Linked DNA regions of Coturnix japonica. The protein of the gene in region 3 purifies or fractionates together with the protein of the main gene of each other region. This does not show direct contact. Links are inferred from orthologs where the notes say so. Each region holds a gene or a part of one and is shown on either strand. Other genes may lie near its edges.

What was found.
Region 1: the proteins of MYBBP1A (region 3) and NPM1 purify together in Homo sapiens (affinity purification with mass spectrometry; 3 studies listed by BioGRID and IntAct, counting the BioPlex papers as one, with this or other methods). This does not show direct contact. The link is inferred for Coturnix japonica from reciprocal best matches to the Homo sapiens genes MYBBP1A and NPM1.
Region 2: the proteins of MYBBP1A (region 3) and RPS6 purify together in Homo sapiens (affinity purification with mass spectrometry; 3 studies listed by BioGRID and IntAct, with this or other methods). This does not show direct contact. The link is inferred for Coturnix japonica from reciprocal best matches to the Homo sapiens genes MYBBP1A and RPS6.
Region 4: the proteins of MYBBP1A (region 3) and LYAR purify together in Homo sapiens (affinity purification with mass spectrometry; 3 studies listed by BioGRID and IntAct, with this or other methods). This does not show direct contact. The link is inferred for Coturnix japonica from reciprocal best matches to the Homo sapiens genes MYBBP1A and LYAR.
Region 5: the proteins of MYBBP1A (region 3) and SIRT7 purify together in Homo sapiens (affinity purification with western blotting; 3 studies listed by BioGRID, with this or other methods). This does not show direct contact. The link is inferred for Coturnix japonica from reciprocal best matches to the Homo sapiens genes MYBBP1A and SIRT7.

What each region holds. Positions count from the first base shown.
Region 1 is NC_029528.1:13,577,134-13,582,751, forward strand, and holds part of NPM1 (nucleophosmin), read left to right. Parts: intron 1-204; coding exon 205-259; intron 260-1,147; coding exon 1,148-1,237; intron 1,238-1,800; coding exon 1,801-1,902; intron 1,903-3,548; coding exon 3,549-3,623; intron 3,624-4,590; coding exon 4,591-4,629; 3' UTR 4,630-5,618. UniProt on the Homo sapiens protein: Involved in diverse cellular processes such as ribosome biogenesis, centrosome duplication, protein chaperoning, histone assembly, cell proliferation, and regulation of tumor suppressors p53/TP53 and ARF.
Region 2 is NC_029547.1:30,387,224-30,393,435, reverse strand, and holds the start of RPS6 (40S ribosomal protein S6), read left to right. Parts: upstream 1-2,499; 5' UTR 2,500-2,626; coding exon 2,627-2,632; intron 2,633-3,417; coding exon 3,418-3,549; intron 3,550-4,416; coding exon 4,417-4,627; intron 4,628-5,185; coding exon 5,186-5,332; intron 5,333-5,713; coding exon 5,714-5,871; intron 5,872-6,212. Other genes in the region: ACER2 (alkaline ceramidase 2), read right to left, coding at 1,466-1,573. UniProt on the Homo sapiens protein: Component of the 40S small ribosomal subunit. Plays an important role in controlling cell growth and proliferation through the selective translation of particular classes of mRNA.
Region 3 is NC_029534.1:2,080,678-2,085,604, forward strand, and holds the end of MYBBP1A (myb-binding protein 1A), read left to right. Parts: intron 1-776; coding exon 777-878; intron 879-1,779; coding exon 1,780-1,904; intron 1,905-2,957; coding exon 2,958-3,462; 3' UTR 3,463-3,589; downstream 3,590-4,927. UniProt on the Homo sapiens protein: May activate or repress transcription via interactions with sequence specific DNA-binding proteins. Repression may be mediated at least in part by histone deacetylase activity (HDAC activity).
Region 4 is NC_029519.1:71,293,031-71,299,420, reverse strand, and holds the end of LYAR (cell growth-regulating nucleolar protein), read left to right. Parts: coding exon 1-75; intron 76-177; coding exon 178-285; intron 286-1,445; coding exon 1,446-1,529; intron 1,530-2,211; coding exon 2,212-2,557; intron 2,558-2,783; coding exon 2,784-2,882; intron 2,883-3,636; coding exon 3,637-3,722; intron 3,723-4,014; coding exon 4,015-4,149; 3' UTR 4,150-5,194; downstream 5,195-6,390. UniProt on the Homo sapiens protein: Plays a role in the maintenance of the appropriate processing of 47S/45S pre-rRNA to 32S/30S pre-rRNAs and their subsequent processing to produce 18S and 28S rRNAs. Also acts at the level of transcription regulation.
Region 5 is NC_029533.1:4,426,079-4,432,258, reverse strand, and holds the start of SIRT7 (NAD-dependent protein deacetylase sirtuin-7), read right to left. Parts: upstream 3,430-6,180; 5' UTR 3,389-3,429; coding exon 3,293-3,388; intron 3,177-3,292; coding exon 3,039-3,176; intron 2,562-3,038; coding exon 2,457-2,561; intron 1,420-2,456; coding exon 1,349-1,419; intron 1,191-1,348; coding exon 1,118-1,190; intron 656-1,117; coding exon 557-655; intron 80-556; coding exon 1-79. UniProt on the Homo sapiens protein: NAD-dependent protein-lysine deacylase that can act both as a deacetylase or deacylase (desuccinylase, depropionylase, deglutarylase and dedecanoylase), depending on the context. Specifically mediates deacetylation of histone H3 at 'Lys-18' (H3K18Ac).

The DNA.
Region 1 (5,618 bases), on a different chromosome or scaffold from region 3:
GGAAAATCAGCCTTGTGTAGTTTGGTAACTTTCTATAGATTTAGGATTTCCTTATTGTAGTATTGATAACTGTAAGGTTTGCACCTTGAGCATTGAAGTAGAAGGCAGTATATTTAACTGCACCGTTGGTAAGTAGAGTATTTTACTTAGCAGCATGTTACCTGTTAAAACAGTTTATGGTGAATGACAAATTTCTAATTGTAGTGATGAAGACGACTTGGATGATGATGAGGAAGAGATTAAAACACCAATGAAGAAAGTAAGTGGTCCATTTGTTATTTTGAATAATACATGTGACCCTTTTCACCTGTGAAGAGCAGTCTTAGAGCTCTTTATTCAGCCAGGAGTGGCAAGTGCTGAGTGGTTCTTAACCACCTGTGTGCCATGTGCAGTAGGCTGTGGTAGCTTTATGTATGGGTGTTGGGCATCAAGCACATATTTGTTCCTACACATGGATTATGCCTTGCTGTTTCAGTCTGATAAAGGTGATGGTAGTGACAGGACTTTGGGTAAGAAAGGGTATAAAATGTGTGAGCCTATGGGAAGGGGTTTAGATGCCCGGTGTTCAAAGTTGTCTGCCCTTCAGTGCCATCTGGTGGTAAAAATAAAACAAAACAACTTCACAGCTGCAGAGATTTAATGCTTTATTTGAACGTGTATGTATCGGCTTGAATTTGTATTAAAATAACAGCTTTCTTAGGGACAGAACAGTTAATGTATCAGGTTTTTCCAGTCATCTAATCACTGAGTGAAATGGACCTTTGGTTTAAATAGGAACACAGGAATGTGGTTCATAGATATGCATGTGGCATTGCTCTTCCACAATCCCAGAGTAGATTTCTGTATAAAATACTAGAGAGTCTAGGATATAAATGAGGAAAATAGTCCTGTCTATGGCCTTGTAGCAAAACTTAATTGTTCTCTGTGGTGCTGAAGCAGCAAGCAGGCTGTCTTTTCATATGTAATTCACTGTTGTTTCTAATTTCTGCTTAAGTAATGGGCACTGAAAACACTACATGGGGAATGAGACCTCATGCAAAAACTTGAGGTTAAATAGTGTTTATTTGTCACAGGCTTTTCAGTGTTGTTAGCACCCATAGCAGTATTGTGTTTTCATGGCAAATTGTTTGGATTACTTTCTTTGCAGCCTGCCCGGGAGCCAGCAGGAAAAAATGCACAGAAAGCAAAGCAAAATGGAAAAGACTCAAAGCCGTCCACACCAGCATCTAAAACAAAAGTGAGTGGAAGAAAAATGAGTGAAATGATTGTGTTGCTCTGGAAGCTGGTTTCCTTGCCTAGCAGAAACTTAATGTGTTAATCATCAAGTTAGCATGCTTCATATGCCTTCAGAAACCTGTTACTTCCTTGCTTCATATACCCCATGAAACTCAGTATTTGTCCTTTGTGAAGGTTAGATGTCTGGTAGTTTTTCTGCATCTACTCAAAGAAGGTCAATACACAAATTAGAGTGGGATGATGGGTACAAGCATGGCACCTGAAAAGCACAGTCAGTGCGTGCCTTTCCAAATTGTGAATCAAACTTGGCTGTAGTTGTAGAGGGAGCTCTAAATCAGGGAATGTTTGGGCTGGTTTCAGTTTCGTTTCTGCTTGAAGAAAAAGCAGTGTGGACACGTGCATAGAAACAGTTCAAGATAATTATGGTAATTATTAGCCACTTCTTGTATTGAAGATAAACTCTACAGTAGGTTTCCCAGTATTTCTGTTTTCAGAAAGCTTGTTTTATGCATAACTCTGTATGCAGCTTTGTATGTGATCTCTAACAAAATGAATAATTTTCAGACTCCAGATTCCAAGAAGGACAAAACTCTAACTCCAAAAACACCCAAAGTTCCTCTGACGTTAGAGGAGATCAAAGCAAAAATGCAAGCCTCCGTAGACAAGGTGAGTTTGTTAACTGTGATCAGCCTTATTTTTAACACTTCCAACAGCAGAAGAATGGTTTTGAGAACTGCATGTTACTGCTTGCTGTGCTCTTAACTCAGTGTATATTGATAAATTCGTATTGACACCCAGAAGTGAAAGAAAGATGATTTAGAATAAGCCTCTGCTTGTGAGAAAGTGAGGAAAAATATTTAACCAGTAGTAGTTATTAGTTTTGTATTTGCTGACTGAGTGTGAGGCTGCAGGATAAAAGTGGAGCACAGTAATCACTTGGGGTGATGTTTACTCTAGTGGTACAAAATAGTATTCATGACTTGTGTTTGGGGCAGCTAGAGTAAGGAGGAGTTCTTAGCATGCTTGGAATTGCTTTGTCCTCCAGCAGTATACAGAGTTGATATCCAGAGGCATGTAAGGCTCTGTAACTTCCAGAAGGGGGAGATAGATGCTTGTGATTAAAGCTGTGTTTGGATAGAAGTGCTCTGTCAGTTGCTTGAGTAAAAAGTGTGGTAAGAATCAGCAGTTCTTTTCCCATAAGCCAAGTCTGAATACCTGTGTGCTATGTAGGTTCACTGCAGACAAACCTTTACTTTAGAACAGCTGGAGGTGAGGACCTGACATCACCAGCTGTGGTTTTTTACTTCAGTAACTTAGAACTGCATAAAAATCATGTGTCCTTTGGTGACTGAACAATACGTTTGGAAAGCTGTTTTTGAATAAAGCTGAAACCTACAGTGATGACAGTAAATGGAGAGAGTTTTTTTTTTGTGATTTGAGATGAGCTGTTTCCTCCTTATGCTGACAAGTCACCCAGAGAATCACTATCATGGAATGGTTGGGATAGTTTCAGACCTTGTGCTGTGTGTGAGTAGGGATGTCTTCCATTTTGCAGTTGTTCCAAGCCCCATCCAGCCTGGCCTTGGATGCTTCCAGGCATTGGGGTATCTGTACCTTCTCTGAGCAACCTGTGAATGCTGATAGGATTAGGCTTATCTTGTGTTTAGATTCCTGAAGTTTTAAGGCAGTTTTGTCCCACTAATGCAAAATGCAGCAAAAATTATTTTAGTGTACAGAGGGGTGCAGAGTGAGCAAGGATGGATGGGTGGTGCTTCTATCAGGACAGACATGCGGATCCTTATGTGGTGAACCTGATGCTGACAAGATGTTTTTGAGGTCAGGTTAACCTCTTGGTACAGATGGGTGCTGGGGTGGTTCCTTGAGATTTCATGTTTTTTAAGATGGTGTTTATCTCTATGCAAAATGCAGTGTGGCGTTTAGCTGTAACAGCCAGTGAGTTAACAGCTTAAAGAACAGCTTCCATTGTTTTATTAATGTCATAAAGAAGGTTTTCTTTAGTAAATATTAAGCAGATATCAGCAAGCAAATGAAACCAGTAGATTGCAGGGGTAAGGCATCATCCAGACGACATGAGTGAAGATGCCTGTCCAGGCATTTCAGTGCAGGCACAGTGCTTTGAGAAATACCTGGGTGCCATAGAAAAGCAAACTTAAACCTTTAGCTTTTGGACCTTGCAAGGTGAGTTCAGTAAAATTCCACTTGCGTTGCAGAAGGTTGAAGCTTCAGCAGAGCTGTGGAGCGTATGCGGCTCGTTGCATCATTCCAATAAAGCTTGCTTTTTTTCAAAATAGGGTTGTTCCCTTCCGAAGCTGGAGCCCAAATTTGCCAACTATGTTAAGAATTGCTTCAGGACGGAGGACCAAAAGGTAACTGGATTTATTGAAACCTGATAAAACCCAAAGCCTTTTATAACCTAACCTAGGGATTCTTTTCCACTTCTTAATCTTTACAAGCTTTGGACTCTTTCAAAGGGTTACAAACCACGAACAATGCTTCAAATTAAATGGGAACAGTTTTAAGGGTTTAGTTGGCTAAGATGAGAAAGTTAATATTTTATTACATTTTTCCAGCTTTTATATGGTTGGTAAATTATCTCTTGCTTACCGAACCCACAGAATTTTCCTTTTGGCACCGTATTGGTGAAGGAAATGAGCTGTGGTTTTCCTTGCTGCTGAAGTTGGCCACCTAGGCCAGTCTGCCGCTCAGCCTTTTGTTGGGGAGGGTGTCTGGGAGGGGGAACTGTTTTGCAATTGAGATTATGGCTTTCTCGCCGCGTTTTCTCCCAAAGTCAACTGAACTCTTGTAAGAGGGCAAGCCAAAAGGTGGTATCAGGAAGCAAGCTTCTGTATTAGTTATTACTCAACTTGTACTGGGCTAAAAAGCGTCTTAGATTTCCCTACAGAAATTCCTGTAAGTTGAAAACTTCTCTTCCAGTGACAGAATTCCTTACGCTTTCTTGCTTCCTTCGGTGGTTCAGAGTAAACGTGTCTGATAGGCAAATTGATAGGTTCTTGAAAGAGTGCTTAAAAGCAGTTAGCCTCAGCTACTGGAGTGAGTCTGACATTAGCCAGGGTAGGCAGAGTTCAGCCAATATTTGCCTAGCTGGTCCACACCCATCCTCTCACTTACCTTCACTGGATTTTTATTATTGTGATTGAAGCGAATAACAGCCTTCTAGCAGAAGGATCCGATGTGTTGCTTTCAGCTTAGTTTCCTCTGAAAGAAATGTGGGGTTTTTTTGGTCATTGAATGTCAATATAGCAAAGCGGGTGAAAAATAAAAACCACAACAAGAAATAGATTTCAGTTTCTAACCATTTGTGTACACTTCCAGGTCATTCAAGCTCTCTGGCAATGGAGACAGACTCTGTAAGAGAACCATTTAAACAGTTTGTTAAAGTCTGCAGTCTTACTTCTGTAACCGTTATTTGGCTGTTCTTTTTACAAATGCTGAAAGAGCTTTCCCTACAGTGTCTGATAAATGTCATCCAGATTACCTTGCCAAGAATGTGTTGTCCAAAATGCCTGTTTAGTTTTTAAAAGACGGGACTCCACCCTCAGCTTCATTTTAAGTATGTATGGAATGTTTTGATAAGGCATGGTGGTGTGGTGGTGGTGGTCAGACAAATGGAAATGGTGGGAAGACTAAATGTACGTGGAAAAAAAAATAATAAAATTTAGTATTTTAATAAAGTATTATCGTTTCTTTCTTTATGGGTTGGGGGTAGGCTGCATACCAAACCCAGGAGATAACAGGGCTTTTAAGTTCTCGTAGGAGCTACTGCTAACTATTTGAGCTGCTTCTCTTTAGCAACTACACATCGGTCTCGGTCATGTTGTCAGCTTTAAGAACAGCCATACCCCAATTCCGTGAGCTCCGCAGCTACTGAGCAAATGGCTTATAGTGAGAAGGCTTAGTGGTAAGCGGGACTTTATTCTTGTCTGGAAGAGACCACTAATTATGTAATTGCATACAACAGCCCTTCCTGCATCTCAGTTTCTGACCCGCTTCATTGCCTTTTGGTTTATGGTTTCATTCTAACAGCTAAGTTTGTAGGGTTTGTGACTCTGCTTGTAAAATGTAATACTTTTGATTTGGGAACTGCTGGCAGTGCTGTTCCTCTGAGGGGCTGCAGTCTCTGAGGTTGTCTCAATGACTGGGCTAAGGGTTTTGTGGAGGGGAGTGTAAGCTTGAATGCTGAAGGATGTGCCCAAGGAGCTCACAATGAGGGGGATCAGTGGCCCATGGAGAAATTCCTGGGAATAACGGAGAGTTAATCCTCTGGTCTTTGAAGATTGAAGACTGCAAATCCCAAAAGCTCAGATGGGCAGGTAGTCTGCATCACAGTTCCTCAGATCATT
Region 2 (6,212 bases), on a different chromosome or scaffold from region 3:
TGATGCACAGTTAGCTGATCTGGATGAAGCTTCAGCAGTACAGGGGGTTTCAGGGCAAACTCTGTTCTATGGCTCTCTAGGTGCTAGTCTATCTGGAAGCTCAGTTAATCACCTGGACATACATGCAGCTCCCAGCATTTTGCACGCTTTCTCGCCACAGCTAATCAGCTCAGCACAGACAGAAGGATATTGAACCCCCTGCATTGCTGGCTTCAAAACGCATCGCTTCTTCAAGAAACTTATTGTTTATCTTGACCTTTTCCTCCCTTTGTTTTTGATTCTTGCACAGTGACATCAGAAACAAAGAAAGCAGCTTGTTTCACCACACACCCTCAAACACAGACGATACACCACCCAGATAACTCCAGTGCAGAACTACAAGGAAAAACAACAGATTAGCCACGTAAGCCATGCACAGTTGAATTATTTGTTCTAAATGCAGTGCATCCCATGGTACACACTCCCGTGAGGGATGAACACTCCAGACACCTCTTTCTTTCCTACACAGAAGTGCAGCACTAGCATCTGATGTTAGCAGTCAAGAAACACAGACTGAAAGAGTGCTCAGATGAGGACGGAATTTGGGGAAGAAATTAAAAGGCCATTTTGAAGTCAGACAAAGCAGAAACCCCACCTCACACCTGACACAGAACAGATAACCCCGACTGCCACCACAGGCATGTTGTTTGCAGGGCTCCCTCCTGGCAACATGGTAAAGCACATCACCAGAAAGCCCGATGTATGATCTCACTCCTTGATGGATCTGTTTGTCACTGCAAACCCTCAGATGAATAAACAGGATGCTTGGAGCAGCGCTCCCCTCCCGGATCTCTGCTGTGGCTAATACACTTACATCAGTGCTCCCTAGCAGCATTCCCCAGCAGCTTTTGGGCTGGGATGACAGGACTCAGGAGTGAACCTGGAGGAAGTAACAATTACTTCAGTCATCTTTCCTTTTTTCACCTTTCTTGAGGCGACTCCTCCCAGCAACACCGTGCTGACTGCACCCTGCAACCCTCTGTCAAACTGCTCCTCTAAGTTTGGCTCTGGGAGACTGCAAAGCTTTAAAGCACGGTTTAGCCTCCAAACACCCGGTGGGTCTGCTCGTGGCCCGCCCCTTCCTCGCACGCCGTAGGGCAGACTTACACCTGCGCCACGGGACAGCAGCCGCGGCAGTCCGGCACGGGACACCCGTGGGCCGGGCAGCACCGGGCAGGACGCGCACACCGTTCACTCGTGGCTCACAGCCCTGTCTCAACCTGGTGATAAACCTTACGCCTGCGATACGAAGCCGCACAGCCGGCTGTCACCTCAGCTACCGCGTCCAGCGGGGCACCCACGGAGCCCCTCGGCGAGGCCCTTCAGCACCGCCAGCCCACGGGGCACCGTGTCCGGGCAGACGCCAGACCCGCCCGCGCAGCCCGCTGCTGTGCCCGGCCCAAGGACCCTCCCTCCCGCCGCGCACCGTGTTGTAGAACTCCGCGATGGCGGGCACGATGGTGTAGTTGTCCTCGCACCAATCCACCTCGGAGCTGCCGGCCCGAAGCTGATCCCACCACAGCATCGCGCCCATGGCGCCCGCCCGCCCCTGCCAAGCGATAGCGGCTCTGCGGGGCGGGGCGGGGCGGAGCGGGACGGCTGTCCCCCCTCCCACCTCCCTCAGTGCCCGCCCCCCTGGCGGGGCGGCCCTGACTGTGGAGCCGCGGCTCCTGGGACCCGCCTCATGCCAGGGGCCGCTCCAAAGGCGCTGCTTTCCCGGCTCTTGCCGTCCCCGCACGGCCCGCCCGCCCTCCTTTGTGTGCATTAGCAGCACTTGTTCTAACGCTGGGGTGGAAATGTTTGGCTTCTCACGTCCTTCTGCGCAGCACCAGACTGAAAAGAGCGTGGCACCATCCTCTGAATTCCTGAGAAATTCTGAAATTCCTGCACTTTGGGTATTTATAAGCAGTGATAAGACCCCCCTCTTCTCTTGGGGAAGCCTCTTCTCCAGGCAGAACTGACCCAGGTCTCTCAGGCTTTCCCCGTACGACAGATGCTCCAGATACATAATCATCTTTGGGTGATGGACTCTGAAGAAGTTTTCCTTCTTGAACTGAGCAGCTCAGAATGGGACTCTAGATGCGTTCCTGCAGATACTTCAGGCTCTTGGGCTCAACATTAGTGTAATGCTGAGGCTGTGCACAATACCAACCAGCCATGCCCTTTTCCTCTCACAGTATCACAGTCTTGTGCGGGTTGGAAGGGACCTTAGAGATCATCGAGTCCAGCCCCCGGGATTCGAGCCTCTGTGTAGCAGAGCGGCACTTCTAACACTTGCGCCACAGGGGGGATTCGAACCCGTGTCCTCCGGTGTTGCAACGCTGCATTCCTACCACTGCGTCCCCGGGGCGCACTAAGTGACGTGGGGCATTGGGGGGGGGTCACACGTCTCCTAGCGCTGACAGCCCGGAAGCCGCCCTCCCGCCACGCCCCCTAGCGAGAGCAGGCCTCGCTCGCAATTGGACAGCTGCGGTCACGTGTGGATGGGCGCGGCGCCGGTGGGCCGCTCTCGCGAGGGTTGGCGAGCGTATGTGCGGGCTGCGAGCGGAAGTGAGGCCTTTTTGTGCGGCGGCGCAGCTCGGCGAGGATGAAGGTGAGGCTGTGGCGGCGGCTGGGCGGTGCTGCGGGGGCTGGGTTCCCGCAGCACAAATGAACCTGGCGTTGCCTCTGGGGCTGCTGACGGGGCGCGATGGGCTGCGGTAGCGGGCTCCGGGCGCATCTGCGGGCTGGATGACGGTGGATTGCGGGTGGTTCGAGATGGCGGCCGCGCGGCACCGTGCCCCATGTTGGGGCCTCTTCCTGCGCTGGGGACTCTATGCGATGGGTTGAGTCACCCCGTTATGGGGCTCCTTACGGCGGGGAACAACAGCGGATCCTCACCGAGAGAAGCAGAGCCCCAGCAAGGAGGTAGTGGAGCTGGGCCTGCTTCCGTGGCCTTGTGTCTGGGGAAGTGCTGGGCAGTGTCTCCGAGGTTACTGGTCTTGCAATAGCCCTCGGGAAACACGGGTGATAACCAAGGCGTAGCGTGACTATTTCAGGTTGCTCGTGTTGTTTCTTTCAAGTCATACATAAGAGGAAGGGCGTACGGCTTTTTGTTGCTATACCGCCATTTACTTGGTGGCAGTCAGTTTAGAGGGCATAGTGCTTTCGTTGTGGTGAACGTAGTTGCATGGGGCAGGTTTGGTATCATTCTTAGCACACACAGATTTGCCTGGTTCTGTAAGTGCAGTAGTAACAGGTTACTGCTAATAAGCAAGTAGAAGCTTTCAGATTTGAAACATTAAGGTGAAACCAGCAGTTAACACTAACTTTTTTCTGGAAATGTCATGTGAGAAGCCTCAATTAAATCATTCATTGTTTATTTTTTTCTTCTGTTAGCTCAACATCTCTTTCCCAGCCACTGGCTGCCAGAAGCTTATTGAAGTGGATGATGAGCGTAAGCTGAGAACATTCTATGAGAAGCGAATGGCCACGGAGGTTGCAGCTGATTCTCTTGGCGAGGAGTGGAAGGTAAGAGTCCAGTGTGTCAGGTGTAGTCAAGTTGATTAAGTTTTCCAGTTCCTAGGGTACTTTTGTGCTATGCATCTGGCAAATATGTTGAAAGTATCTCTTAAAATACATACTGAATTTAATGAATGAGCAGGGTTTTAGTTCTTCTTCCTTTTTCTTTTAAGTCTATGTGTTTCAGACAGTTGCTGGATTTTTAAATAGTTTTCTGTTCTTGATTTGGGTATCCTAGCAATGTTCAAGACAAATGAAGACTATACCACGAAAGTCATAATTCTGCATTGAACAAGCTCAAGGATTATTTAAACTGTTAAGTGCATATGAGAACAAGCATGTTGAACTTGATAGATAGGTTTGGAATAGTGAGATGTCAATATGGGCAGTCCAGCTGAGCTTGAATAAGATGATCTGTGTTGCTGCTGTCTCTTAAGGAAGGCAGTAAGAGCTATTTTTACCCCCATGTCTTAATAGAAACATGTTGTGTACGTATGTGCAGTTAGTGATGTTAACAGACATTGGTGAGGTTCAGCATGAAGGCAAAGAAAAGGTTAGCATGAAAGCGTTGGGGCTTAGTTTGGTGTGTATTACACTAGCTTGTAACAAATAGGAATTTGCTGCTTGGATACATGTTTGAAGAGGCAGTAAATGCTAGTTGGGATATGTAAAGACATGTTTCATGTCTGTGTTAAGTGAGCTTCAGCCTGAGCTGTTGAAATGATGTATGTTGAAGCAGTACTTAGTGTCTGCACTTACAGTGACTTTTCTGGTGGTGCAGTGTTTGATAGGAACACAGTATTGTGATCTCCACCTCCTCTCGTTGAATTGATAGGGACTTGAGCAAGTAAGAGGTGTATTTCTTTGTTTCTGCAGGGCTATGTTGTCCGGATCAGTGGTGGCAATGACAAACAAGGCTTCCCCATGAAGCAGGGTGTCCTTACTCATGGACGTGTCCGCCTTCTGCTCAGCAAGGGCCACTCCTGCTACCGCCCCAGGAGAACTGGAGAGAGGAAACGCAAATCTGTTCGGGGTTGCATTGTTGATGCCAACTTGAGTGTTCTGAACTTGGTCATTGTGAAAAAGGGTACGTGCAGTCTGTAGGTAGAAGTAGGCACCTGGAAAGAACCTGCGTGCTAGTGGCTGTAAAGTCCTGTAGAATACAAACGCTGTCTCAGTCTTAATTGTCTAAATGCACGTTAAAATTCTCTCTAAGCATTGTACTGTAACTTTAAATGATGAGAACTGATCACAAGCAACATTATTTCATTAAGTCAGTGCAGTCAGAGGAGGCACTAGTGGCAGGTGTACCCCAGGGATAATCCACCTAAATTGCTCAGAAAGTAACGCTTCCTATGTATTTCCATGGGAATGACAACAGTACCAAAGAGCACAATAACGCCATTTGATAGAGCAAGGTCTCAGCTACAGAACACTACTTTTTAACATAGGCACCACTATTAGCTATACATTTTCACCAGCAGTGAACAAGAGCAAATGTAATAAAATAGAAGGTGTTATTTTTACAGCAGCCGTCATAGTATCTTGCTTTTATAATTCACTTTAAATTAATGAGCAACTATAGTTAAAGAGATGTTTAGTAGATGCAAGACTAAGTAACATGTCTAAATTTGCTTTATCAAAGGTGAAAAGGATATTCCTGGGCTGACAGACACAACTGTGCCTCGCCGTCTTGGTCCCAAGAGAGCTAGCAGGATCCGCAAGCTGTTCAATCTCTCCAAGGAGGATGATGTTCGCCAGTATGTTGTGAGGAAACCTCTGAATAAAGAGGGTAAGAACTCAGGTTTTACAGCACTGTGGTTGCGTGTCATTTTCAGCAGATAATGAGTTCCATAGACTTCCCTAGTGCTTAGAACAAGGGGCAGTGTTCTGTTTTCTGGCAGGTATTTTGAGAAGCCAGGTATCTTCACAAAACTATAGGAATTTAGAGAGGCAGTACTTAATGTTTCCCTGCTTGATAACACATCAGTGTTAAGGCTGCATTTTGTTAGTGCTATGTGTGACAAAAATTGGATTGCTTTTCCTGCACTGTATATACTGTGCTAAGTGTTACTGTTTGAGTGGAATATGCTGTTTTATGGTTGTTGGGGGGGGGCTTGCATCCTCTTTGGAAGATAGCTTGTCACACTTCTTATTAATAACTCATTTTAAGGCAAGAAACCCAGGACCAAGGCTCCTAAGATCCAGCGACTTGTGACTCCTCGAGTTCTGCAGCATAAGCGCAGACGTATTGCCCTGAAGAAGCAGCGCACTCAGAAGAACAAGGAGGAGGCAGCAGATTATGCCAAGCTCTTGGCAAAGAGAATGAAGGTACGTGTACCCCTCATGACATGGCTGTTCCTCATGCCTGAGAATCTTGGGATTTTATAAGCTTGACTGTACACTTAAAAATGTGTGGTAGAAACTGACTGGTATCTGAATGAGAGCGTGAATGTTTATTTACTGGCAGACAACTTTGAGAGCGTTGCTATTCATTCTTGCCAGTGCAGTAAAGCAGTTGAGGTGATGGGTCTGGTCTGTTTCTCAGAGCTAATTTTGAAGAAAATGATGGGCATTTATAGCCCATGATAATGATACGTTTTTTGCAGTACCAGTTTTAGTTGAAGTCAATTTGAGTCTGACTAGGATGCTCCATTAGAATGCAGAGTTTC
Region 3 (4,927 bases):
GCTTGCTGTGCTGTGTGCACTCACAGAAACATACATAGTAGGGAAGAAAGCTGCATGTAAGCAGGGCTGCAAGGACCTGCTGCAGGTGGAGGATCAGTGCCCCAAGCCCCAGGGTTGCCTTATGGCTCCCACTGCCTTTTTATAGAACTTTTATGTTCTGCTCTCCTCCACTTGTCAATAACTGTGGCTGTTATTTGACCTGTCTCTGGAGTGATTTCCTCTAAGCCAGACCTTTCAGTGTCTCGGAAACCCTACAGCACATAAAGGTAACACAAAGAGATGAGATTTTCTCAGTTCTTTTTAGTGGATTTAAGCTTGATTGACAAACCCTGTTCTAGTGCTGGCACCTGGGATTTCCTTAGCTTGCTAATGGATTTTTGCATTAGCTCTTTGCGTGTAAATTCCAGCTTCAGCAGCTGAGTTGGGTTGTCCCTCAGGTGAGTGTTGCCTGGCAGCCTTTGGGCCTTTCTCTGAGGGGTCATTGTCTCCCTTCTTTTTGTCCAGGAGGCAGCAACGTGTCCCCAGCTGTGCTTTATCTTAGGGAGAGTTGTGGAGTTGTGCTTTGTGATATACTTGTGCTTATTTTGTTCAGCTGTTCTGTAATTAACCTGGGCACAGCAGCTTCCACTGTGTTCCTTCCTGAGCACTGCCAGAGTTTGGTGAGCTTTGTTGCAGGGTTGTTTTGGTGACAGGTGAATTCTGCCTGTTCTCTGCTTTCTCCTGAGAAGACAGATTTGCTTCCCCATTTAACGTGTGCTTCTCCCTTTAATTTGCAGAGTTTGAAAGGGGCTGATAAGTTAAGGGTGAAAGCTGAGAAGGAGAAAGTTGCCAGATGCTTGGAGCTGCTCAACTTCCTCCTCAAAACTGCGACGCAGCAGGTGAGAGTGGGACTGATCCTGTGTGTTTTGTGCTCTGTGACACACTGAGTGCAGGGCTAGTGGTTCTTCTCCTTCTGAACACCACTGAGGTCTCTGTCAGGTGTCATGCTTGGATTCTGTGACTGCTCTGCCACTGCATCCCTATCCAGCTGCTTTCTGAGTGGGAGCGACGCATTGTTCGGCCCTATAGAAAAGGGCCTTTTTAAGCATAAGGTTTTCTGTAGGTGACAAAATGAGTTTCCAACATGGTCTTATTTACTAGAGCAAAATAACGCAAGCAGCATAATTGCTGAAGCCCAGTTTCCTACTGATAAGCATGGAACCCACAGCACAGCCTGTTTCTTTGTTAATACCTAATAGGAAAGTGGGTGGGGAGAGAGATTATTTCCAGGGTTCTTGTAGCACTGAATAACCCTGGAGACACCCGTTTCTGGCTGGGTTCACTGAAATTGGCCCGTGGGTCACAGAAGCTGTAAGAGGCCATTGGAGGCAGCGTGACTGCATCATTTAAAAACCAGACTGAAAATGCTGCTGCTTTGCTCTTAGATGGGTGCACAGTACATAATCTTCATCCCTACGCCCCCAGTCATGGTCTGTAAAGGAAAAAAGGACTAAAGGATCTTTCTGTCCCTTTCATACCGGTACAGTTCCAGCTTACACTCACAGCTGTCATGCTAGGGACCAGTTTTCAATCGAACTTTGTACCTGATGGGGGCATGAATTGCCTGTTTTTGCCCCCCACATTGAAGTGCTGCAGTGAATGGGCTCAGGGCGGTGGCTTGGAGTAACCAGGCAGCTTGGTTGTTCCTGGCAGTTTTACCTGAGGTTTTACTGTGTCCTGCAGCTGTGAGTCCCCTTCTGAGCTCAGTGCTGATGGTTGTTTTGCACTCGCCTCCTGCAGAAGCTGCACGTGGAGCTGATGGAGTTGGACAAAGTGCTGGTAGCTCTGAACCAGCAGGAAAGCATCGGGAAGTCAGCACGGCTCGACTCTCTGTACTGGAACGTCATGCGATGGCTGAATCACACGTACGTATGCCTGGCTCTTTGGCTTCTTGGCTCACCTGGGGGGCTGACTGCCTGTCCTGCTTCTCCTCTTTGATGTAGGAGGTAGGAAAACAAAGCAGGGTATTTCTTTACCGGGGACACTGTGCAAGGACCTTCAGCCCCTTAAAGTGATACTTGGGCTCCTTGTGGCCTGGAACCCCAGCCACATTTGCCTTGCAGCTTTGAAAGCTGGAAAGCATTCAGTCCTTATGCCTCAATACTCTTGTGCTAAATGGCATCTGGATTTGAATTTTGCTCCAGGGCGAAAAAGAAGGGCAGGATCTTTTTCTCCTTTCTATCAATAGCTTGTAATTGAAATTCTTGCTTCCCCTTCCTTCTGGCAGCGTTGGTGATGTGCACAGCATTCAGGAAGTGCTGGGTAGCTCTCCTAATGGCTGGGATTTGCAGTCTCAGTGTGTGGGTGGCCTGGTCTGTGGGATCTCAGCACAGTTTGGTTCTGGGGGAAATACTTGCACATGGCTCACTGTGAGAGGCTCACAGGCAGGGAGGGACTGCACAAAGGCACAGCCTCATACAGGTCACTTGTACTGCAAGGTCTGTCCCAAGATGAAGGTCAGTTTTAGCAGCAGGTAGAGACTGCGAAGGGGGATTGCTCAGGGAAGGTAGGTAGGCAACACTGACCTTGTGCATGCTGTCGGAGGAAAGGATTGGGGTTTGTGGGTGCAGCCTGCTGTCACTTGGTGCCACTGTGCTGTGGCAGAGCAGCACAGATGGGCTTTGCTCAGGATGGACAGACAGCATCTCTGTAGCCTCACTTGGAGCCATGGATGGTCCTGCTTGAGAAATGGGGCTTCTTAATCCAGTCTCTGCAAGCCTGTGCAGCCCTACAGCTCAGTTAGCCATCTTCTCTGCAGGCTGGGGGCCACCTCCAGGGATGACACTCATCCTCACAGCATGCCTGTACTTCCTGCATCATTCTTGTGCTCCTGCCTGTTTGTGGCTGCCTGCAACATGGATAGCTTTGCTTCTGGCTTTAAAACGAGTTGCTCTTGATTTTTGGTGTTCTCTCTGCAGGAAGCCCAAGAAAGAGAAGACAGCCAATAAACCTGTGCAGGAAGCAGAGCCACTGAAGCGTAAGAAGAAAGGGTTCCTACCAGAGACCAAAAAACGTAAGAATCGCAAGAAAGCCGTTAGGGAGAATGGAGGAGCACCAGCAGCCAGTGAAGATGGAGACTCAGCAGCCCCAGATGAGAAGCCACTGGGAACAGAAACCCCTGAGCAAAAGGACGGCCGTCTACCTGGTAGCAAGAAGCACAGGAAGCGGAACAGGGGGGTCAGAGAGAATGGGGTGGCAGCTGAGGGCAGAGAGAATGGAGCTGTTAATGGTGAAGATGCTGTGGCTGCGAAGAAGAGGAAGAAGAAGAAGAATAGAAAAAGAAAAGGTGATGCAGGCAATGAAGCTGAACAGATTCCAGCTGCAAAGAAAGTCAAGGGAGATGTCAACCAGGAGACCCAGCAGAAGCAGGGCAAAGCCAAGAAGAAAAGGAAAGAGAAAAAATCTGCCGTGCTGCAGGAGTAAACTTCATGGACTCACCCTGGTTTGGCACGGCTAATGTGACTCAGAGGACTGTTCTAATATCTTTTATAACTATATTTTTATGCCCTCCCTGAATTTAAATAAACCTTCCATGATGCCAAGCTTTGAAGCTGCAGGTCTGACTTGTTGTAAGAAGGTTCAGTTGCAGTACAGGGATCTGTGTCCCATCTGGCTCTGGCAACACCAAACATCCCGAGCTCAGTAGCACAGGCTCCATTTTTATATGATAACCTCAAGGCAGAAGTGAGAGGCTTGCCTGGATTCCCTGGGGATGTGGTAGGTGTGCTGACACTGCAGAGTTGTGTGGTTGAGCCCTGTGGGAGGTTCCCCTGAAGGGCTGTTCTTGTCCTCTTCAGGCCCTGCAGTATTTGCAGCTTTTCCAGTCTAGAAGATGCTGTCTGTTTGAAATGCCTGAGGGTTAAACGGGCTTGTACATGCATATTCTGAGGTTAAATATATCCAATCTGGGCCACTCAGATGTCATCAGTAACTAGCATGGTCTTGCTTTTTTGCTTTCCCCTGTGCATCCCTTTGCTTCTGGGTGCAAGAGGGATGATGCCCCTGGTTTGATAGCACAGGGATGTCAATAAAACACTGAAAGCAATTGCAGTGGCTAATTAATTTGTTAGTCTGCCAGGCCAGCAGACTGTGTGCAACCTCATCCTTCCTTTCCTCTCCCTGACCTGCTGACCACCACGCTCCTGGAGGCTGGACCTGCGGGGCCCAGGAGCGGGGCTGTTTCTGCAGCACCTTTGGCTTTATTTCTGCAGGTGAATTTGTTCTACGCCACATGGGTAAGGGCAAAGGAAATGTCATGTTGCTTTTGGAGGGACACTGCACTACCTTTGCAGTGTCTTTTCTCAAATGGCATAAGACTCCCCAGGAGGCAGCTGCTGGCATCAATACGATCCCATTCAGTTGCAGTGGGAAGGCACAGATCTCCTCTCATGTCCATGTCCCAGCAGCAATCAAGCGAGGCTTGTTGTGCATCCCAGGTAGTGAGCTGGCTTCTGGCAGCAGCAGGTTAGGGCTGGAGCTGCAGTGGCTGCCTGCTGGCAGGACTCAGCAATGTCCTTTCTTTCCCTGCATCTTGTGTTCTACTCTCACAGCTCTTCCTCTGGCACCTTGTGGAGGCAGGTACACAGGTATGTTCATTGCAACCCTTGTCAGAGCACTTCTGGCAGTAGCTGAGGGCATCCTCATCTTAGGGACCAGCCCTACAGGAGCGTGCAGTCAGACCAAGTGGTGATACAGGAGAGGCAGCCAGGTGGTATGTTTTAAATACTTTTATTTCTTAATTTACATAAAGGTATAGATTTGGCTTATTTCTCTCTCTTTTTTTTTTTATACTCTGAGATTCACAATCGATTGCTCTTAAAAAATAAAATAGTCATTTGCTTCTGAAAGAAATCAGAAAACTATTTTATACTCTCCCTTGTATAACAAG
Region 4 (6,390 bases), on a different chromosome or scaffold from region 3:
GATGAGAAGTATGGAGGAAAAGATTTTGAAGCCAAAACTAGTAAAGGAGATGCTAAACAACAGGAGTGGCTTCAGGTAAGGTGTATACTGATATAATAAGTAACTCTTGGTTGTTGAACTGACTGTGGGTTACTGAAGCTGTTCGTCACTGATTTCATCCTGGTTTTCTTCATTCAGAAAATTCACGAAGTAATGAAGAAACCCAATATAAACCCTAAGGTGCGAAACATTCTGGAGCAAATGCGTTCCTTTGGTAATATTCCAAGGAAAAAAGTAAAATTTCAGGTATGTTTTAAGAGCTTTGTAGTAATTGTACTTTAAAAATAGACTTTCCCAGCGTCACTCTCTTTCAAGAAAGGTGGGACAAATTGTTTTATTTTGAGCATCAGGAAGTGGATGATGTTATGGACAAGTTTTAAATAGGAGGTGTTTCTAAATTATTTCTCATTTCATAAAAGGTGTCTAAATGCAGTTTGTCTAACTGCAGTTTTAATTATTCATTAGGCCAGAGACTCACAAAGTTGTCTCCCAGACTTAGGGATTAAGATTGGATGTGTAGGCTTGTACTGTTTGTTATAGGGAGTTTTCCTGTTGATTAGCATTCTGATTCCCCCTCCCACACAGAGTACTTGATTGTTCTGTGCTTCCCAACCACAGCAGACTCCAAATGCTTTATGTGGTATCTGTAAAGAATTACAAGTTGGCCTTTCCTCCACTTCATTTTGTGTCTCAATTTGTAAAGCTGAGAGAAAATCATGACTGCTTCTAGGTGATTCAGATAGGATGTAATAGAACTGGTGTGAAATTGCTGCCAGAGCCAGCCAGAAGGTTAGACTAGTTTGACAAAATTAACCAAAATGTTCTAAGCCAAGGAAGTTCCATTTTCAAGAAGCTTTCTTCTTTTTGGTAAGATATTGCATTGAAAGATCAAGTTTTTGCAGTACATTATTCCAGTTTACCAGTGAAGCCTTTCCAGGTGTCCCTAAAGGATTATTTGTCTGTAGTGAAACAAAGAACAGATCCTTAATATTTTGGCTCATACCAACAATCAGAAGGTTTACTAGCTCTGTTCAAAAGCTTGAGGATATCATTTTCTGTATCATTCTGAATCATTGAATCACAAAGTTGGAAAGGACCTACAGGATCATGTAGTCCAACCGTCCTCCCATTACCGTTGCTAACACAATTGATCTCATCTGGATTATTGTTGGTGAGGCAATTGACAGGCATGGCATAGACTTTTAACTATATGCTACACAAAACAAATTAGCGTTGGGTTTTAAGGGATTCGTAGAGGATAAACATCGAACCAGATATTCATCATGCAAAATAACAAAATTCTTAAATTTAAGAATGAATTATATGGTAGTGAGGAGAAGAAAAAAGGAAAAGGAGGCACGCTTTTTAAAGTTATTGGGATTGTGTTCGTTTTCTTTCCTGCACAGAACTGGATGAAGAACAGTTTGAGAGTTACTGACAGCACTTTGCAAAATCAGGTGTGGGATATTTTTTCTGAAGCAAATGGAGATGTAAGTTAATTTAAGATAATAATAAATAAGAGGTATAACGCTGTACAACAGCAGTGCATTAAAAAAAATGTTTATCTTCAGAAATCAAAGCTTTTTGTTACCTGTAACTTGATTAATTTTAGCAAATATATCTTAAAAAAATATACAGACTCTATACTGACTCTAATCTGCACATTCCTTCTTCCTTGTATTCCGATAATGCAACTAATTATTAATAGCAGTGTTTCGGAATTATGTCTTTGCCTGCTAAATATAGTGTTTCAGTTTAGGATGTACATAATGTTTTGTATCATCATGTTTATGTTTTCTGGCATTCACATCAATTGTGCCCTTAGAAATTCCAATACTGCATTTTAAATGCCTTGAGAATGGAGTTTTTAAACATGTATCCATGCAACAAGTGCACCATTTATTACATAGAGCAAAATATACTGTAAAACAAAGCAAAACAAATAAAACCAAGCCAAATATTTTTTTACATGATAACATTTCTTCTGTGATGTCGAGGTTATTAGCAGTTAACAGAAGAATCAAGCCATAGAGTTTACTACTGGTGTTACCTTGTGTAGTAAGCTTGGCTGAATTCAGGATAGTGGTGTATTTCAGAAATGGTGTAGTGCAAAATAGCTGAATTAACAATTAAGGAATGTCAAAAATTGTAATTCTCTGTCTCTCAAAATAGGTGGCAGGTAAAAAAGAACCTGACAAACCACAACAGAAGGATGTAGTACAGTCTGCAGATAATGGGCAAAAAGCAGTGGCGGAAGAAAATGAAGTTACAGATGGTGAAGCCAAGCAGAAAAAGAGTAAGAAAGAAAGAAAAGAAGAGAGACAAAAGAACAATAAGAAGGAGAAAAAAGATCTGAAATTAGAAAATCAGCCTGTGAGCTCAGAAACTAAAAAGAATAAGAAGTCCAAAAAACAGAAGGAGAGCTCGGAGAATGAATTTGAAATGAATGGAAATGGCCATCAGAATGAGATTGAAGAGGAAACCAATGTCAGGAAACGCAAACATAAACATGTAGAAGGTATCTATCCTACTTACTCTATTATTGTTTCCAGACCTTTGCCAGTGCCTAAAAGATCAATAATCTACTTCAGTGGAATTTGTAAAAGTAATGAATGTTAAATACACAGATTTTACAGAACATGAACATCCTAACAAATAGAAGCTTATGTTAACAAGAATAGAAATTTGCTCCCCATGGAACTTCTAGTTTTATCACTTTTTCTGTGTGTGCATTTCACCTCTAGAGGAACCCTGTATCACAAAAAAGAGAATGAAAACTGAAAGCGTGTCAGAAGACATGGAAACAGAGAACACCAATGGCGATGAAGAAACTCTTGGAAAAGGTAAAGATATTCTGAAGGGGAAAATTTAGATGGTTACAAAACTGTGTTACAAAAGATCTCGTGCAGAATATGATGCTTTTGCAGAAAGCTGTGAAGTAAGTTCTGCCTCAATCATAACATTCACTTATCTGTTCCAGAGGAAGAAGCCTGTGCTACACTTTACACCTAGTTCTGCATTCTTATGTTAATTCTGTGCTGGCAGCCTCTAGCTACACTTAATTTCATCAGACTTTGAGGAATCTGGAATATTTGTTTCACCACATTAGGTTTCTTCCCTGCTGCCATACACCTGAGGCAGCACAGAGGAAAAATGATAGCAGCTTTGTATCTGTGTTGTCTTTTAAATCACCATTTTTTATAATTGAATCATAAATTCGAGTTTATATCTGTGTTTGACTTGGTTTGTTCTTAGATATGCCAAGGCACTTCACTATCTTTGAGGGATGTCTGTCCTTGAACATGCAGATTGTGTATTATGTAGTGGTTTCTGGTTTATAGCTGAAACTCAGGAGCTAAGTGAAAGCCATCTTGACCCTAACTACTCATGTTGCACAATGGTTCTTCATGGACATCCAATTAAAATATTCAGGAACAGCCTACCTGACTTTATACTTAAGACATTCTGCTGTTGTAAAGTCAGTAGGATAACAGAGAACCATGATGGCAGCTGAACTGGTTCTAAAAGAAGAAGTTTGAAGGTTCCTACCACAAGATCTGGTAAACTTACATTTTTATATGCCTAATTATTTTCTAGGTAAATTCAACTGGAAAGGAACCATCAAAGCTGTTCTGAAACAGGCTCCAGACAATGAAATTTCAATTAAAAAACTAAGGAAAAAGGTACAGTGCACTATCTTTTTTTTTAGGTTCTAAGTCTTCTTTGCTCTTGAGTTTTGTTTTCCTGTAGTGCTGAAGCTTGTAAAATCCTGTTCCTGTCAAAAATGTTTGATGTTTCTTAGCAGAACATGACTAGAACTAGACTCATTCTTTAGAACTCAGTAGAATACAGAGGCAAGTTCTGCAAACGCGTAGCGTAGCAGTTTCTGTACTACTTTTAATACAGTAACATGATTGTATTACAGCTTTAACTGGATCTTTACTAACTCAGAGCTGTTCCTCTTTCTTTGTGCAGGTTATAGCTCAGTACTATGCAGTAGCTGGTGATCATCACAAATCAGAAGAGGATATTCTAGTTACGTTTAATAAGAAAGTGAACAACAATCCCAAATTTAAAGTTTTAAAGGACAAAGTGAAACTTGTGAAATAATTTTTCATACTTTCCATAATGTTTGCAGTGCAGACTGAGTCAAATTCTGCTGTCAAGTGGACAGACATCATGTATTGGTCTCAATTTTAATTGTTTGCATATGAGAGTTCAGAATTTAAGTCGGGACTCCTTTTTCTAGATTTATTGCAGAATATTTTAGGAGTGCTGCATATCTGTTTTCAGATCTTTTATAATTTTTAAGGAAAATGTATATTTTTTTGTACAAGTTTTAAGAGGCATTGAAAATAGTAGGCAACAGATATATAAAATTCTTCCAGTAATGGATTTAATTGATAGGCATGAATGTCTGTCAGGACCACAGTTGTGTGGCTTTTTGTAGAAACTACTGTAAGATCAATAGGATTTTCATATTCAAAACCTCAACATGGAAAAATGTTTTGTTATGATCCAGTTAAAAATGGTATGATTGATAGTTTCTTTATGCACTGTAGCTTGTATACACAGGCTTTAATGACCTCTTAATTTTATGTTGTGAAGTGCATAACTACAATGTCTGTAAAATTTATGTTTTTAAGATTGCACGTTCAGTGAAAATCTAAAGACTGTTACCTGTATGTGCATAGCTACTTAGTGTTATAATTAGTATTGCAACTGACTGTAAGTGATCTCACTTATACTAAAAATTGACCAGTGAAATAAATGACTGTAAAGCACTACCTTGAATGTATTAAATCTTATCAGTTTATAATTGTACTGAAAAAAGGAACAAACCAACTGAGAAGAAATTTGTGCATGAAATCCACAGACTATACATAATTTCTTGTATTACAGTCACCAAAAAATTTTAAAAGGCAGAAATCTTAATTAAAATACTCAAATTTGTAAAACTGCTGGATTTATTAGAAGTATGAAAATGTTAAATGTCTGGGTCCAGTTTTTTTGAGTACATATTTGTCTTGTTTATAAGAAAAAAATACAATAGAAGTCCATAAAAAGTTTCTTTCTTCACTAAGTGCTTGTTTGCCAGTTCATGAGAATGGCTTTGGATGTATGTGAATAAAATTTATTTACAACCCTGGGAAAACTGAGAAGTTCTTTCAATGCTTTTCAAAAGCTATTTTTTATTTTTATTTATTTATTTTAATGTAGGAAAGGACAGAAGACTAAAGTGAATACACTCCCATTAATCTTTTCACTGTTTATTGTACTATAAATATGGATGTCAGACAGAGATATTAAGTAGTTTTGTTGGAGTAATTGTTAGAGGTTTTAACTATTGTTTAAAATTTGTTCCAAGTTAAGCCATTTTTTTAGTATCTTCCAAAGATTAAAAGTTGTTTTATTGACCATGCAAACGTTGACCATGTGGTGGTGACTACACTGACCATGTTGTTGACCATAACAAATATCCAACAAGCGTATACAAATGACAGACATGTATAAAACTGAGATATGGAATATCATATCAGAATGACAATACGCACCAGCTGAGCAGGATTTGCCCATTTTCCTACAGTAACTTGTGATTCTTAATGCTTGAAATGCCTGATTTCCACTGGGTGCTGACATGCCTGTATTAGTATTGCCTATGTGGGACTGTAAATTCGACTTTTGCATCTGATTCTTCTCTCCCTTAAAGGGCAAAGAAGCACAAGCTACTTATTGGCCGACATGGAGGAAATTAACGCCTCCTCATTGATAGTCACTAGCAGGGAGTCTACTATCATCCTGTTACATTAGTATTTCTTCATTATATATCTTTATAGCAATATCACCTTTTCACTGTCTGTTGGCAGAAAGAAAGGGAGGGAGGAAGAATAGGCTTTGCAAACTTGTATGCTTTTCCTTATGAGTATTGCTGGAAGTGGTACCGTATGGTAGAGGAGACTGTGTCCCTAAAGATCACTTGAAATGCTAAAGTCCATGCACAGCTGCATTACTGACACACAGCTCAACATTAACAATAATAATAAAAAAAGAAATCAATATTTTTTCATTAGACAAGAGATTCCTCAGAGGTCTGAACGTGGCTTTTTTACTTAAAACACATTCAAGATTCAGTTTACTACTTGCAGGTAACAATGTTTCTATCTAACTGAAATTACCCTCTTAATAATTACCAGTTTAATGGTCATCATTTCAGAGGGGGGGATACTCCCTTGTATCCCATTCAGAATATTTCACCAAGACATAAAAACAGTAAGACCTTCCTACTTTTATCTCAAAAATGATTAATCAATGTATTGACTGATTTGTTTGTTTGTTTCAATCCCAGTGGTC
Region 5 (6,180 bases), on a different chromosome or scaffold from region 3:
GGTGCTTGTGCAGGGCTGTGCGTTCGGTCACATCGAATACTCGCACATACTCTCTGTTGGGGGTACATGAAGTGCAGACCTATAGCACAGGAAGAAAAGATGTTGTATTGTCAGCATCTGGTCTGTTAAGAGCCCAGAGATGCAGCCACACCTCAAAAAGCACCTTTTGGGGACAACAAACCTGGAAGCAGTGGAAGGAATCACCTGTGTTTAGATGCTAACTTGGAAACACTCTGAAACACTCAGCTACTGAGTGAGAGGCATTGCAGGGGGCAGGCTGGCTGGGCAATAGGACAGGTTTTCAAGCAATGCCTGAAGAACTGCACTCAAAAGCAGAAGGCTCTAGCAAATACAGAGCAAAATCTGCCAGGTTGTACAGAAAACTTAACCATGGGGCCTGCTAACTACTTCACCCCAAAACTGACAACCTACAGATACCAACTAAGCCACAACTAGCCCTTGTACTAATTCCTGAGTCAGGAAGGGATAAATAATTAACATTAGCTTTTTACAAGGCCGGTACTGGCAGTACCTTTGTCCTTTTCTTGCTGCTCACCTCTATGTACATGTTTCCATGAAGCTCAGATATTGCTGATCGAGGTAACCCACTGCGCAGGTGCAGCCCATCACAGTTTTGAGATACCACGTGCTGCACCTGGAAAAGAACAAAACACTGAAATAACACACACAGAGAAGGCTCGAGAAAGTGTTATTCCAGTGCAGGTAACACATATATCTCAATGTGCAATAAATAGTTCTACTTCAATATACTGAGCTAAGAGAAGAAAAGCACAGAGTAGAACTCTGTGGAAGCTAAACAAAGAGGCTCCTGCTAAATACAGCTCTGTTAGGCCTGGCAGATTCTGTAGCCACATCCCCAGACCACAGCTTTGCCAGGAAGCAAACACAAGCTAATGAAAAAAGGCACAAGGGAAAAACTGCTGGAGCCAGTCTGGACATGGCCTGATGAAGGCTCAGCTGTACAGAAACAAGGACAATTGCCACCTCACTAAGGACAACAGTTAGGCAACGTCGTGAGTTTCTGTTTTCCTTTTTGAGCTGATTTATTGTACTGTGACAGAGGAGCACAAGTGATGTACGGAGAGAAAAATCTTACCAGGTTATGCTTGTGTAGACAAGCAATGCTCATATGGGTGAGCGTGGGCTCTGCCTCACTCAGATCTGTAGCACTGACAAGGGGCAAAAAGAAAAAAGAAGTTAGAAATTGCCATTCAAACTCTCTTTCAGTATCAGCTGTTTGTTGGGCAGCTCAAAATTCATCTCCTGAGTAGCTGTAGAACTGTTTTTCCAGGAAAGAGAAAGGAAAAATTCACTCCTGTCACCTTACCTGATGCTCCTGCCCTTCTGCAGCAATGTCCAAATGCCATTGGGGCCTCGGTAGTCTGGGATCGAAGCTGCCTGCGTTATGGAGAGAGACAAAGCGCAGCCTGACGGGAAAGTTCAGACCTCTTGTCCACCACCACATCAACCTGGCCTCACCCTGGACAGTGAGATACTGCATTCACTGCTGCTTTTTTGTTCACTCCAAGTTTTCTCATGTTTTCCTAATTATAGAGAGCTCTTTTCCTACCCTACAGTTCTCATTTTCTTGTGCAGTGTTTATTTTCTCCAGCTTTATCACTATGAAATCCCTCCAGAACACTCTCCTCCCTCAATTACTTCCCATTTCCCCACACAGAACCCATTTCTTGAACCTTTAATTCTTTACACTCTACTGATTTCAGGTAGGTCGTACTCAGTGATCATCAAAAGAAGCACCTATGACATGAACACTTTCTCATACGCTCTGCCCTGCTCCATGCTCCCTATCAGCTGAGACTGCAGAAAAGGGGAAGAACAATAAGGTTCCCATCTCAGAGCTCAGACAGAAGTGACAAATGTGCCATACAAAGAGGCAGCTCCAGATTGCCTTTCTCGTAAGAGGCCACAGAAACCATTTCTGAACCATCATTTTTAACTTCTAGTAAGCACTTGTTATTTCCAAATCGTTTATTAATGCAGGCTGCACTGAGCAGTTAACTTCTTTTAGCTTTAGCAGCAAAAGCAGCTGAAGAGACGTGAATGAAGACAGCCTACTGGTCTTATTTTAGAAGCTCATTCTTTGCATAGAGGCGATGCAGTCTCAGAATCTCTTGGCCAGCAGGAATATCTCAAGATGCAAATTAGTTAACACCTTGGTCATGGTTTGTAGTTCAACAGTGTTAATATAGAATCCCAGATATCCTCTGGGCAGCCTGGTCTGGTGGTTGGTGACCCTGCATGTAGTGAGGGGGTTGAAACTGGATGACCATTATGGTCCTTTTCAACCCAGGCCATTCTATGATTCTGTGATATCCCCACGGTCATTTGGAATCTACAGAAAACAGAGTTCAAACATTGCAACACTCCTGAAGGAGCTCCCAAAGCTCCAGCCACTCACCCCCAAAGAATCCTACCGTACTGATCCCTGCTCCTGTGTAGATGACAAGGTGCTTGGCATTCCGGATAGCAGCAGCCAGCTCAACAACCTTTCTCTTCAGCTCCTCTGGCTCATCACATACCTAGGAAATGCAAATGGGCAGTTTCAGCATGTCACTGAACCTGAAGGAACATAGAGCCCCTTGGCCATATGGGTCCATGCCAGCCAGAGAACGCATCACACAAATATTATCAGAAGCAATTTTTAACTAGAAGAATGTGGGTGTTTGGTGTCTGTATTATCTATGGAGGAACAAAGGGTTTCTGGACAGCAGCACATGCAGATACACCCCTCCATGGGGGAACGCCCACTCAGAAAACCAAACACGCTTCAAAGAGGTTGGCAGCCGCAAGAAGCAACAAGGCTGGGGCGGGGGAATCAGCCGAGACCGGCACAGCAGGACACAGCCCCGAGGGATGGGGGCACTGCTGGGAGGGCGGCACCATCAGTTCTGCTGTCACAGCAGCAGCTCAGCGCCCACCAGCTCCCCCGGGTCACATCGCACAGCGGCTCCTCGCCCCCGTCCAGCCGCACCCACTGGGCCCCGCCCGGCTCCCACCTCCTCCTGCCGCCGTCGCAGCCTGTCCCGCCTCTTGCGGCGCCGCTCCAGCTCCCGCACGATGTCGTCGCTCTCGCTCAGCACCTGACACTCCTCGGGGCTCCGCTCCGACGGCGGCTTCCTCCAGATACGGGAAACCTGCCCGGCACACACAGCGCGTCACGGCGGCCAGGCCAGGCCGCGCCGTACCGTACCGTGTCGTACCGTACAGTGCTGTACCGTGCCGTGCCGTGCCGTGCCGTACCGTACCGTACCTGTCTCCGCCGGTCCCGCTGCTCCTCCTGCTGTAGGATCTCTGCTCTCGCCGCCGCCTTCCGCTCCGTGCGGCTGAGGCTGCCGCCGGCCGCCATCGCCCCGGAAGCGCCGCACTTCCGCTATGAGCTTCCTCTCGGGGAGCGGCCGAGCGCCGCTTCCGTCCCCTCCCACCCCGCGGTGCGCAACAGCGCCCCCTAGAGCGGCGGAGGACCGAGCCGCAAGGAAGCGCCGGGCCGTGGTGTTTGAAAGCTGTTTATTGTCATGTACAAAACAACGGCGGCCGCGCCGGCAGACGAACACTATGTACAGCAATAAATAACGCCCGCCGTCGCCGCGCGGGGCAATAACTTAGCAATAAATACCGCCCCCCTCCACAGCGGACGGGTGCGGGGCCGGGACGGGCCCGGCAGCCGCTGCAGCCCCGGCCCACGGCACGGCGGGTCCGTCCGGGCCGATCCGAGCTCGGGCCTCCCCCGCCCCGCTGCCCCGGGACAAGGCGGAACTCACTGACACGATTCACCACACGATACACAAACCCCGCCCGGCCGCTGCACGGACACACTGCGTGGTTCCTTTGAGGGCGGTTGGGGTCGGGCCCAACCTCCACAACCACTGCATCAAAAATGTACCGGGAAAGGAGAAAGAAAACACAACACCCTTCACAGCAGGAAACCGAACGGACGAGCACCTCAGGAACAAGAACTGCCACACTCCAGAACGCTATATACGAGAGAGAGAGAGAGCAGAGCGATGGGCTCGGGGCAGGACGGCCTCACAGTACCGGGTGATGAGGACAGGCTGCCCCGAGCGTGACGGGAGGTTCCTCAGACACGGCAGAAATACATGAGTCAGATTGCAATACTTCACTGAGAACAAAACCAAAACACACCACGCCATACGGGGAAGCAGCACCCGGCAGAGGAGCACAGCCACCCCAGCACCTCTAGGATGGAGCCAGGCAGAGCTTGGTGAGCAGGGAACCATCTCAGCTGCAGGTTCACCCTGTGGCAGCAGCTTTGTGCCCATATGTCCCTAAAGAGATGTGTCCTCACTGAATGCATTCACTCAAAGCAAACTGGGACCACAAGCTAAAGCACAGCGCAAAGGAGGGGAAATGACAGCACTCATGGCTGGTGGAGTCAGCGCTGACACCTGCTCTGTCCTCCTCACTTGCTCCAGGAAAGCACAGGCTCTTATGGCAGCAGCAATTGCCATCCAGAAGGCAGAGAAGGATCGGGTGCAGAATACAATGGAAATGAGTTTGTGGGAGCTGTGGGACTGCCTGTCATTGCCTGCTCTGTTGATGGAGCCCTCCTCAAAACAATCTCCAGTAAATGGAGACAGTTTTGCGCACAAAACCTTGTCTGCTCGCTCTGCAGAGGTCAGGTCTCCAGCTGGGGTCAGGAAAGCTCTCCTGCCAGGTCAGATCTCAGGCTGACTCCAGGAGGGACAGGGTTGGATTTTAAACCCTGAGCCAGCCAAAGGACTCTGTGCTGTGTCCCATCCCCTCCTCACACCATCCACATCCACCAGCTGGAAGACAAAGGCTCGAGCCTAGAAGCCTGTGCCAAGTGTTGCACAGCAAGTAGCCCATCCGGTGCATGGCAAGGAAGCAGCAAAACAAACACCTCAGTTCAGAGAGGAGAAAACTCATGAGCTGGATGGGGGAAGCCTGAAGGTGATGTTCTAACCTACTCCTTACTCATAACGTTCACAGGGAAAAGAGTTCCAAGCAGCTTCTCCCTAAGCCTGCAATTAGTCAGTGCAAAGCTGATCTCTTTCAACAAGAAATCCCATCAGCTCCTCTCCTGCTGTGCTGCAGCTCTCTTTAGGTTTGCCTGCTTTTCAGCCCAGAGAAAAGCACATCATTTCAGCCATGTGAGAAACTCATCACCAAAACACATCCAGTACAGCAAACTTCACTTGTGCCATCCTTATCGGTCTCCTGTGCTCAGGTGATTTTTGACAGCCAAAAGATCAAACAGACTTCATCCCCATGCCCTGCTTCTCCACAACAACTCGGTAACCAGCAGCTGTCCTAGTGTGAAAATGGAGCCTCACCACAAATCATCTCTCAGCTGTGTCACACAGCTGTCAGTTTAAGTACCTTTACCAGCACCTACAGCCAGAAGCTGCAGCAGGAAAAATAATAACCAAGACATTGCTCACTTTGCAGTAATACGCTGATGCTCAGCACAAGAGACTGCAGCTTCAGGACAAGCGCAGGTCCTGCACTGCCTATAACACCATCAGCCCTGCCTCTTATCAGAGGAGCCAAGAGCACAGCGTGAGCTCTGACCACAAGATCCACATCCAGCTCCAGCATTCAACCCCTTCAGTCTCCTTCTGAACTTATATAGCTCTCCCTTGTGTTACTTCTCAGCCAGAGGAGAGCAGTTCCACTGGGAACGCATCCCCCATGCAGGTAACTCCGAGATCAGCACTGGCTGGGCAGTGAGATGCCTGAGCTGCTTGTGCAGAAGCCACAGCTACAACACCCAGAGAGAGAAGCAGATGTCCTGCAAAACCCCTCTGCAGAGCAGTGTTTTCTGGGCAGCCATTCATTTTCACCTCTAAGAAAAGCAGCATCTTTGCCTGTGCGCCAGAATCCTGGAGAATTCAGAGAGATTCCAAGTGAACCTCGAGCTCAGGGATAACAACAGAAGCATGAGAACGACAGCACACTGCAAAGGCAGCCACTGACACCAGCACAGCACGGCGGAGCTGGGAGAGCACAGAGAGAGCAACACGAGGGGACGCAACGGAAGCCAGCAAGATCGAGAATAAGTCACTTTTGGTACAATTGCAAAAAGATATCAAACAGGATTTGCCTCTTTTTTTGTCTTTTTTTGTCGTTTTGTCTTTTTTTTGTCTTTTTTTTTTTTTT